3 linked regions of the Mus musculus genome follow. The protein of the gene in region 2 purifies or fractionates together with the protein of the main gene of each other region. This does not show direct contact. Links are inferred from orthologs where the notes say so. Each region holds a gene or a part of one and is shown on either strand. Other genes may lie near its edges.

Region 1 (3,648 bases), on a different chromosome or scaffold from region 2:
CCTGTACCATGCCTAAGAATTGCTTTTACAAAATAATTGTAATACAGTTCACAAAAATAGGGCCCTAAGGGGCTGGGGCTGGGCATGGTGACACAAGCTTTTTTTTTTTTTTTTTTTTGAAACAGTTTCTCTGTGTAGCCCTGACTGTCCTAGAGATACAAGCCTTTTTTATCCCACCACATGAAGGCAGAAGCAGGTAGATCTCTCTGAGTCTGAGGCCAGCTTAGTCTACATAGAGTTCTTCTTCAGCCAAGGGTGCATAGTGAGAGCCTGTCTGAAATGACAACAAAACAAAACAAAAGTCAAGCCTGGAGTGCAGGTCTGTAATCCGAGCTACCCAGGAGCTGGAGGCAGAAGAATACAAGTTCCCGATCTCTTCAGTTTATGGTCACCACAGTAAACTATGTCTACAAACAAACAAATGTAACTCAGTCCCTAGGTTCACAAAACAAACAAAACTAAAGAACAAAGAATTTGAATCGATGTAGGCTAGGGTCATTCACAAGTAAGAATAAAAACTAAAACAACAAAAACGGAAAGAAATTAGTGTCTCATTTTATTTTTTAAAAATGTATTTAACTTTTATTTATGTGTGTGAGTCTGTGTGAGTTTATGTGTACTACATATGTGGGGGTACTTGGAATGAAAGAGCATTTGATTCTCTGGAACTGGAGTTGCAGGCAGCTGTAAGCTACCATATGAGTGGTGAGATCTAAACCTGGGTCCTCTAGAAGAGCATGAAACTCTCCTTACTGCTGAGCCATCTCTCCAGCCCACAGTGCTCCATTTCAAAGAATAAATAAACTGGTACAGCTAACTCTCAAGGTATAGGAAGGAAACAAGAAAGTCCCCTTGGCAAAAGCCAGCACTTAAGGTGGCCTTCTGTCCCTAGCCTTGGAGGAACATAAGGTTGCCACGCCCTCCGGTCAAGTCTGCTTGACAGGCTGAAAGTCTGTAAGCACTCAACGAGGAAAAGTGTTTCACGGAAACTCACCTCCTGGAGCTTTGGCGTTCTCATTTACCCATATACTCATACCCTATTTCCGAGTTAGTCTGGTGTATGGAACTACGAGCTCTCTTTTGATATTTTATTATAAATGCCTTTTAAGATTAAATTCTGATACAGTTAAGTCTCCCCAGTGTCCCAAGGTCCCAGAAGCTTGGAATCCAGCAAGAATGCAGTAAGGAAGTTACCTATTCAGTAACTAATTAAGCATTACAAAAGATGGAGCCAGCAGCTCAGAGCTGGTCTGCAAAGTATTTACTAAGGACAGTAGCAAATCGCACCCAAACAAGGGACTACCATGAAAGTGCCAGGGAATTCCACTGAGATAGAAATCTTCAGTACAGGCTACATTGCATATTAGAAGCAAGTTGGTGAATTCTTCTGACAAATGGAGATTCTCCAGTTACTTAAAAGTTACACTCATGTGGGGGTTTGGCAAGGCCTAGGAAATGGGGAGGAGAGGGGTTTGTGATGTTGCATTATTCATGAGGCCTGCTAAGAGCAGAAGAACCCCCTGGTGCTAGCTTTCACAAGGTTCAAAGGTATAGCACTAGAGTGTGAAATCCTTACCTGTCACTAAGCTGACCCTAGGCAGGACTGCTTTATCTTTACTGTAAACATCTACCTGGTTTCTGTAAATCCCTTTGTTGTCATTCCTTTGTTTTGTATCAAGTAACTTCAATGTACTTTGCCTGCTACCCTTTGTATTTTCTGTACTATATAAGATTGGTGTTCACTTTGTGACATTACATTCAGATTCTACACAATCTCGAATGTTGGTCTGTCTGTCACCCGCTGACGCCTTGTCCACCTGCCTCAGAGACTCGTTCCACACAGACAAAGGGACTCAGAGGGTCTGCAGCATAAGGTAGGAAGGTGAACTCTCATGGCCCCCTCATTCATCAGCCCAAGATCAAGTGCATGAGAGGCAGTGCCAGGGTGTAACTAAAAAGTCACATTGTCTGTAAGAGATAACATTAATTTACTGGTAAATTTATGAGGAATATATATTATCAGGATTGAGGTAATCATTCCTGAAAATGCAACACTGCCTGAAAGTATATACTGGGTGCTGCTTAGTGATAGAATAGTTACTTACATACTAGCATGTACAAGGCCTTGGTTTGCATCCCACATAACAAGCATGAGGTTCTACCTCTAGTGTGTTTGTAAGAGAGCGTGTTTATGTGTCTGTGTGAGTCTGTCTGTCTGTCTCTCACATACACACACACACACACACACACACAGAGGGAGAGAGAGAGAGAGAGAGAGAGAGAGAGAGAGAGAGAAATGGGGCTGGAGAGTCAGATAGAAGAAGATCCAGACCTGAATCTCAGCACCCACATGGTGGCTCACAACCATTCATAACTCTAGCTCTTGGGGATCCAATGTCCTCTTCAATCTCTTTAGGCACCAGGTACACATGTGGTATGCATATATACATACAGGAAAAACATGCATACACATTAAATAAAAAGTCTAAAAAATTTTACAGTATTTAGAGACTATATCTTTACATAATAACCACTTTTCAGTTCACTCTCTAGATAGGAAAGAGTCCCTTTTCAATGTGAAACCATCTAAATGACCTCAACACACACAAAGAGTACAAGATTTGGACAGAAGTAGACTGGGAGAATCTCCTTCCAGATGTGACAGCTGGAGTTGAGGCCAATGTCTGAGGTAGTACTGGCCACAGGTCCTTACCATTCTGAGCTCCGATGGTAGTAGTAGCCCTCTATGGAGGCTGCTGACTTCTGAAAGCAGATGTAATAGAAACCAGCAAAGGAAGCACCGCTGATGTCTTTGATTGTGTGGTCCGGGACTAGGAACTGCTCCTGCACACAGATATGGGACCAGTCAAGACCTTCCCTTTCCAGTAAGACACCAGAGAGTTCTAAAGACTGCTAGAAACAAAACAATTAATAACAAAAGCCCCCAAACAAGACAAAAAACCATGATCACATGGTCCTATTCAACTGCTGGGTTTCTGCCTGGTTTGGGGGTGGTGTTCACGGTTACTGCAGTATCCTACCTACTGTGGTAAGCCCACAGAAACATAGCTCTGGATCTAACCGACCAATCCATACTACTTTCCTGCCTACTTGCCTACCCACCTGGTACCTCTTGGAGACCATTGACAGAATAACCTAGAAAGAATAAATTTCAGTTCTGGTTCCCAGGACCTGTCACTGGGTTTTGATTGCCTCTAACAATGAGGTAAGCACATCTACTGGAGTTTCTGGTCAGACTGAATTAAGAATGCCCATGATACCTCACCAAAGCCAAGAAACAGCACCATTTGTGCCACAAAGACAGGCATCTGCCATCTAAACTGGCAACAAGCAGTGAAAGGCTATGCCCTTGCTCCTGGTCTCTGGGAGACAGAGTCAGAAGCCCAGGGCGTCAGGTGACCGGACAAAAGAGAAATTATCTGGAGACAAATCCACTGCTTTAACAAACTTTTTATTTAATTTTCAATGCTGGGATGAAACTCAGGACTTTGTGCGTGCTAGACAAATGCTCTACCACAAACACTCTCCATCTTCTCCAGTATTTTTTTTTTTAATGGACACTCTTTTCTCCCTTTTTCAACCTTCAAATATCATTTTAAAGTTTAATTTAGGGCTGAGGTCTAGCTT
Region 2 (3,748 bases):
TAATATCCGTATGTATTTCTTTCGTGTTTAACTACTTTTCATTACTTAATTCTAGTCAACTGATTAAAGGAAAATAACAGATGCCACAGAGGCATTGTTACACAGAAATGTTTAAAAAAAAAAAAAGAGGCTGCCAATCAAGAACAAGCCCCACTACCTGTTATAACAGCATGGTATATACACTGTGCCTACTACCCCTCACACCACAGGCTTTGTGAAACATTCCCTTACTAGCAAAGAGGCCTAAAATCCCTGACCTGGCAATTTTTACAATCATTTTAACCATCTGGAACTGACTGCAACTTCCCTAAAACAAACCTCACCACCACTTCTCCTCTTCCATAATCACTCTTCTGGAAAGGACTCTGTTCTCTATCTTTTCTCTCTCAAGCAACCCCTCAATCTCTGACCTGGTCCCCCAAAAGGGAGTATTCCTTCTGCCTCTCCAGGTGTAGGCCCTATGTTCATTCTCGTCCCCTACTGGCTTTCTCCTTTTCGGTCAAAAGACAAAGATGTCCTCTGGGAAAGGGGGGTGTTCGGTGTCTTTAAGCCCTGAGCTAGGACCACCTTGGATTGACTGCCTTCTACTTCGGTATGCACTATTTTTTTCTTAGCCTGAAATAATCTGGTTTGTCCACAAAATGTCAAGTACCAGCTAAGCAGCTCTCTTTTTATCCTTTTCTGCCCTTTTCATTTCTGCTCTACTTTGGTTGTGTTTAGAGCCTAAGATCTTTCATCTCACATCCTATGATCTCCACTGTCCTTCTAGAAATATCTGAAAACACAGAGGGGCACACTGGGAATCCCAACACTAGAAAGATGAAGACAAGATTATAAATTCAAAGCTGGCTTGGGCCACACAGAGAGATTTTACCTCAAAACACCACAAGCAAAAGAAAACAACCAATTTTAGCTCACATATATTCCAAGAATATCTATATCTATCCATATATGTGTGTATGTATATATGTAATATATATATATATATATTATATATACACCTCACATATATTCAAACCCTTTAATCTCATGAGTCAAAATTCAACAGATTTTCTCACACCCCACCTTATTCTGTTAGCATCAAGTATACCATCACCATCAATTCAGTCAAATAATCTTTTCGCATGAAGCCATCAACATGTTTTGCATATATTTATACAGCGTTCCAAAGTGACAGCTGTGTCAGAAGTTGTCAGACTCCTTTACCAGGGAGGAGCAGTCACCCACAACTGAAGTGTTTGGGAAATAAAGGTGTAGAGGAAAGGAGAGGAGAGGCAGGGCTAACACTGCCTTAATCTCACCTGCTACATCCTCATTTCTCCCTGACTAATAAATATCCCTTTAATTTCTGTTCAGCCCACAAAACTGACAAGGGCCCGGACTCTTGAGTAAATCCATAATATTACAAGTCCTTTATCTCTCATTCAGAAAGAGTCAGCATTGTGGCTCCAAGGTACCAGACCTTTAGTGTTATTTTTAAAACACAAAACTCTTTCTCAGAGTTAGCCTTGGCATCTGTGGTACAAGACGTAGGGCCACTGATGAAATAACGTAGGCAAAACACCTTCTACGGAAAAGCTGTTTTCTGAAAGGATTATTAACAAGTACAAACTGGACTAGGTAAGTAACTAGCAACTCGACATCTGCCCGGTCGGACTGTACAGAGGCTACAGCAGGGACGCTGAATGGTTTAAATCGGCCGGCTTCCTAGGAAGAGTTTAGAAGAACTGCCTGCCCACATCAGTCCAACTCTGAAGTTGCAGCAGCCGATGATGTAGAAACCAACCCACAGCTAAGAACGTTAAACTAAGAACCATCAGGGAGAAAAGTCTGCGAGGCCGAAAACTAGACAAAGTCCTGCGCAGACCCTCGTTATCACTCGCACACCTGCGGCCCGCAGGACCCCGCAAGACCCCCAGCCCCGCCCCAGGCCACCGCGTTTCCGGGCGGGTCGCCGCGGCCTGGGGACCAGCAGACGCAGCGCAGGGCCCCGACCCCCGCGCGCCCACGCGCCCGCCCTCACCGTGGCTCTGCAGGATCTCGTGCTTGAGGCCGCCGGTGTAGTCGATGAGCTCCTCCAGGCCCCGCTCGCACAGCTGCCCGTAGCCCGAGAACTTGTGCAGCACCTTCTCCAGCTCGCGCTCCACCGTCACGCACTGATCCATGCCGGAGACCGCGGCGCTCGGCTCCCCGGCGCCCGGGGGTCCGCAGTGGTTCGGCCCGGGCCCCACCGAGGCCGCGTCCTGCTCCTCCTCCCCCAAGGCGGCGAGCGGGCGGCGCGGGAGGCGAAGGCAAGACGGGCGCGCTAGCCGCGGCGCCGGGGGAGCCCCGCGCAGCCTGTGCCCTCCCGCCCCATGGCGCCCCGGCCCCGCCGCTCGCGCTCGCTCGCCCGCCCTACCCGGCGCCGCGTCTCGCCCCGGGCCCCCCTGGCTCGCCGCGTTCGGCCGCCCCTCGGCGGCGCCGCCGATTGTTTTTGTTTTCACGGGAACCGGCCGATGACCTGGTTCTCCCGGGCGGCACCAATAGCCGCGGCCCGGGAGGGGGTCGAGCCTCCCTCACGAGCGGAGGAGGCGGCGCGGGCCGTACCAATCGCGGACTCGGCGAGGGGTCAGGGGGAAGCAGCGGGCGAGCACGGGCGGAGGGCGCGCGGGCGTTCTGAAGGTGTGGGCCGTACCACGCGGGAGGCCGTGAGGGAGCGCGGCGAGGGCGGGGCGAGGGCGGGGCGAGCGACGCAATTGGCCCGCGCAGCTGAACAGGGAACTTTAGCGATAGCGTCAACTACGCGGCCGGTAAACAAGAGGGTGGAAACCGTCCCCGGATGCTCCGCCCAGAAGCAGAAGAGTGACCAATCGACGCGGGGGTTAGGAGCGAGACAAACATCCTCCAATCCTGGGCCGAGGCGTAAAACTTCAGCCAATCCAGACTGAGGAGCCAAACCAATGCGCTCGCTGTTGGAGGGGGGTTGGCTTGAAGAGCGGAGCTTGGCGCTTCTACTGGGAAGCCGCGAGGGGAAACATGACAGCAATTAACGGGGCTGTTTTCTCCAGGATTTCGCCCTGATTGCAATTTGTGTTTTCTCCGCATGGAATTTTGGCCGGAGTTTCGACTGAGAGGCCCACCTCCGGGGCCAAAGGATGTCTGTCTGGCCGCCTAGTGGCGGAGGGCCCGGGCGGGGTCACTAACCCGATGGAAGGTGGTAGCTCTTAGAGGGATGGCCCGCGCCCAGCGTTGGCTCGTTCTTGACGCCCCTCGGCCTGCAAGTGGCCTTCCCTGTCGCCTTGTCCACGTGCTGGGCATCTTGGCGGCGGTCACGAACACGCGTGGGCGAGCTGAGCAACCTGGCCCTTGCTCCTTGCCCTTACCTTGGCGTAGGGCTTTTGCCCTGGTTTACCACGGGGTTCTGGCCTTGGCCTGTGCCCTCTTGCTCACCAGGCTTCTACCCTACTAGCTTTTCGTCAAGTCCCTGCCTCACAGCCTGGGCCTGGGAGAGTCCGCCTTCCTGGGCCTGCAGTTGCCAGCTTGCTTGCCTGCTCATAGCATTCCTACTTCCACCATGGTTGTATCACCTCTGCCTCCCCGAATTTTCTCCATCAATTCATTGTATCTCTTACAGCACAATTTTTTTTTTCTCTCACACATCACTTGTCAAAGTCTAAAATAATAATTGTTTGGAGTTTTGCTTGTTTTGGTTGCACCACTTAAGTAATACTATGAAGGGTAACCCCTTTTGTTGTGGCCTGTTTGTTTC
Region 3 (3,748 bases), on a different chromosome or scaffold from region 2:
GCCATGCCCAGGGTCAGGGGATGCCACCATAGCCCCTCACAGGAAAAGAAGATGGCTGCCAGGTGCCTGAGACTGCAAAACAGACATCTAGGTCCACTGCTTAAGCCACCCGCCAGATCCCAAGGCTGCACATCTGAAGAGGCCTTGCTCTGCAGGTGAACAATCTGTCAATAAACATACATAAGTTATGAAATGTTCAAAGAATAAATCTTAAAAAATTTAAGTCTGTCCAGTATACTGCAGTCCCAACTGCTTTTGGGGAGCCCTCCAGCCACCAGTCTTCACTTCTGGGAGGGATCCCAACCCACATGCCATACATGCATCTGGACCCTCCTAAGGACTGACCACAAACACCTCTCTCCTGGTATTCTGATTGATTCTGTCATCAAACACTTCTGAATCAAAGTATAAAGTGCCCACCATCAATTACTGTTGAAAAAGTACAGAAGTGCAGCTAAGTATGCATCTCAGTTGGCAGGATGTTTGCCCATCATGCAGATGTCCTGGATCTGATCTCTCTCACTGCACTGCCTGGAATCCCAGCATTCAGGAGACAGTAAGAAGGATCAGAAACTCAAGGTCATCCTTAGCTATCCCAGTGAGTTACAGCCCAGCCAAGGCTACAACAGACCTGTCTCAAAAAAAAACAAGTCAAAACCAGCCAAACAACAACAATGTAAGGGGAAAACGTGAACAAAGCAAAGATACACTGTCAACAAAGCAGAGAAGTTATAAGGCAAGGGTCTGCAGGACCTGGAGGGAGTAGCATTTCTACTCACAAAAACTTTTCTTTCTATCATTCGTCAAAGAGAAAAAAAGAAAAGAAAAGGTGTGATTCTGTTTCCATGACACCACCACCTCTCTGTACCTGCACAGAGATCCACAGAATCGTTTTCGTCAGAGCTGTGCAATAGCTTTGGAATGCAGAGTGCATTCCTGGTCACCAGAGGACGGACTGGAGGAACCCTGACCATCCATTTCACTGCCTAATGCGTTCAGTAAGCCAGAGAGGGAGGGAGCTCTGAAACCTTTCCTGTCTGTGGGTCCCAAATTCACCAGCCAGAACAAATAGCCACGTTCTCCCAAAGCAACCTCATTGCAACAGGTCTGGAAGTCCTGGCGAGGCCCAGACGTCAGTGGTTACAGGTCTAGTGATAGAAGGCCCCAAGTATGACCACTGTTAAGAGTCAGGGTTTCCATCTGTCAATCAACAGAAATCCAAGAGTGCCAGGAAACTACAGGATTGGTAAGAGTCACCTGTAATCCCAGCACTCGGATTCATGGCCTACAGAAGCCTGCCTCAAAAAAAAAAAAAAAAAAAAAAAAAAAGAAAAGAAAAGAAAAGAAAAGAAAAGAAAGAAAGAAAACAAGGCCTGAGGATGTAGCTCAGTAGCAGAGCATTGGCCTAGCACGTACAAGACCGAGGTCTGTCACAAGTACCTCCTACTCCCCCAAGCCATACATTTTGAACATCTGACAAAAAAGACTGGTGGTGTTTGCTCCCTTCCTTAGTCAAATAAAGCACAGGATACAAAACATTGATCAAATATGGCTGCTCACCAACTATAGAAGAAGGCCAGCTGGGCCTTGCTTCTGCCCTCCTGTGAAGACAAACTACTCCAGAGCAGTCAGATGTCACAGGGACAATGACAAGAGATGCCTTCCAGGGAATGCCAAGACTTCCATGTGCAATATAAGCTCGCTCACTTCACCCTCGGGGAGGAAAACAAGTGCTCCCTAGGGCTTACATCAGACAAGGGAACACCAGCAGAAGTCAGGTGCCTCCCATACAATCTGGGTCTCCCTAAGCACAGAAAAAGCGGTCTCGCCTAGAACCTGTAGTCTTCAACCTTAGCTAAACGACCCACCCACCCACCACCAAACAACCACTGGGTCACCAAAGAGATGGATGAGGTGCCAAGAGCTCCAGAAGAAAAGCTGCCCAGACCTCAGCCAAGGAATGTAGAACACGAAGGCTCTGCCGGCCTTCCTTGGAACCAAAGAATTTTTTTCTTCCTCTTAAGGCTTTTCTTCCCAGGTACTTCACCGCAGTCCATCCGGTACCATCAAGCCCTCTAGCAACTGAAGCCTCCCAGTCTTCCGGCGGGGATGAACGTTTGTCCTAAAGGAACGCACTGGCGCAGCGACCACCCAAGGTCACGCCCCGGAAACCAAGGGCAGGAGCTGCGCTGGAGTTCTGGGGACGCCCAGCGAGGCGGGGTGCCACCGGGTCGCCAGTGCTCCCCACTGGCCCCCTAATTAGCACCAGAGGCATGCCCGCCACGCCCCAGGCCGAGCTTCCGGAAGGACGCCCCGGGGCCGCCGCGACCCACCTCCGCGTCCAGGGCCCCTGGTTCTTTAGTGCCCGCCGCCCCGGCCGTGGCCTCGCTGCCCGCACTCGCACGGCCCGCAGCCTCTCGGCTTTGAAGGCTGGGTGGGAGGCAGGGCTCAGGCCCCGCCGCCCGGGCCTCGGAAGCCCTCTGACTCTGTCGCCCCGCACCACCTAGGTCACAGTACACCGAGAGGTCCCCCTTGGCCCCATCGGGAGGCCCCGGCCCGTGCCCATCGCGCTGGAGAGCCGCAGCCCCACCGCCCCCGACCCCGCCCCCGGCCGTGCAGTCCCTCCAGAAGCGACTCCGGCAGCGACCCAGCCCCTGCACCACCACGACCCCTCCCAAGATGCGGTGGCGACCCTAGCCGCGCCTAGAACGCACCTTGAGGGTCGGGTACTCCTGCACCTTCAGGGTCATGGACAGCTGGGCCGCCGACTCCTGCACCGCCATCTTGGGCCGGCCGAGCGGAGGAGGCGGGTACGGGGCACGCCGGATAGTGACGTGCTACGTACGGGAGCAGGCGGAGCGGCTATGAGTCTGCACCAATCGTGTCACCGGGCCGCCCGAGCGGAAGAAGGCCAGAGCCAATCATCTTTCACGGGCTCGACCAATCGCCGGCAGCTCTAGAGAGCGGCTTCCTCATTGAATTGTCCGCTGGCGTAGGCCGCAGATGCGGATTTAGTAGAGCGGGGATCCCGACGCCATGGACGTTCGGAGGGTTGGGGCTGAGACGACTCACGTTGTGGTCGCACCCCCCCCCCACACACACACCTCCGAAGTCGCCTCCCGTAGTGGTCACAGGCCCTGCCTCAGCGCTCGGTGGCCGTTATCTCTGAATGGTCACTTAGGGGTGCGGTTTTTGCCATCCGGGAACTACTTTCCTTCATCTCCATTTTCGCCGATTAACAGCTCTGGCGTCCAAGAGCGGGCTTCCCAATAAAAGATAAAGAATGTTTACAATAGAATAAGACAGGGAGGGGCTATCGAGCAGCTGTGCTTTCCTGCCAGTAATAACATAAGGAACACTTGGGAACTGCATTTGTGAAAAAGCGATGAATCCTTGATTTGGGGTCCAAAAGGCGTCTGAAGGTGTCCAGTCCCTGACCTAAACTTGTAGTCAAGTTGAATTCCTGGAGCAATAGTAATGATCAGTTAACATCTTTCTGATAAACTAAGCAACGTGGATCTTCCAGGGCTCCTGAGTGAAAGCAATTATCTGTGATGTAGGCTTCACCCTACAGCACATGTCACAAGACCTGAGAATCAGTCTGTTCCCTAAGGCAATGAGGACTTCTTTAAACCACCTGAAAAACAGAATTGAAGTAACTATCAACCAGACCACACCTTGACTGAGATTGCTTAATTATCATGCCTTTTACCTACATTCTAATTCTTCTATTTTGAACTCAATTTGG

Evidence for each region.
Region 1: the proteins of Rmnd5a (region 2) and Gid4 purify together in Homo sapiens (affinity purification with mass spectrometry; 4 studies listed by BioGRID and IntAct, counting the BioPlex papers as one, with this or other methods). This does not show direct contact. The link is inferred for Mus musculus from reciprocal best matches to the Homo sapiens genes RMND5A and GID4.
Region 3: the proteins of Rmnd5a (region 2) and Maea purify together in Homo sapiens (affinity purification with mass spectrometry; 5 studies listed by BioGRID and IntAct, counting the BioPlex papers as one, with this or other methods). This does not show direct contact. The link is inferred for Mus musculus from reciprocal best matches to the Homo sapiens genes RMND5A and MAEA.

What each region holds. Positions count from the first base shown.
Region 1 is NC_000077.6:60,437,639-60,441,286, reverse strand, and holds part of Gid4 (glucose-induced degradation protein 4 homolog), read right to left. Parts: intron 2,845-3,648; coding exon 2,714-2,844; intron 1-2,713.
Region 2 is NC_000072.6:71,437,975-71,441,722, forward strand, and holds the start of Rmnd5a (E3 ubiquitin-protein ligase RMND5A), read right to left. Parts: upstream 2,664-3,748; 5' UTR 2,166-2,663; coding exon 2,024-2,165; intron 1-2,023.
Region 3 is NC_000071.6:33,334,612-33,338,359, reverse strand, and holds the start of Maea (E3 ubiquitin-protein transferase MAEA), read right to left. Parts: upstream 2,789-3,748; 5' UTR 2,784-2,788; coding exon 2,715-2,783; intron 2,253-2,714; exon of another isoform or gene 1,949-2,252; intron 1-1,948.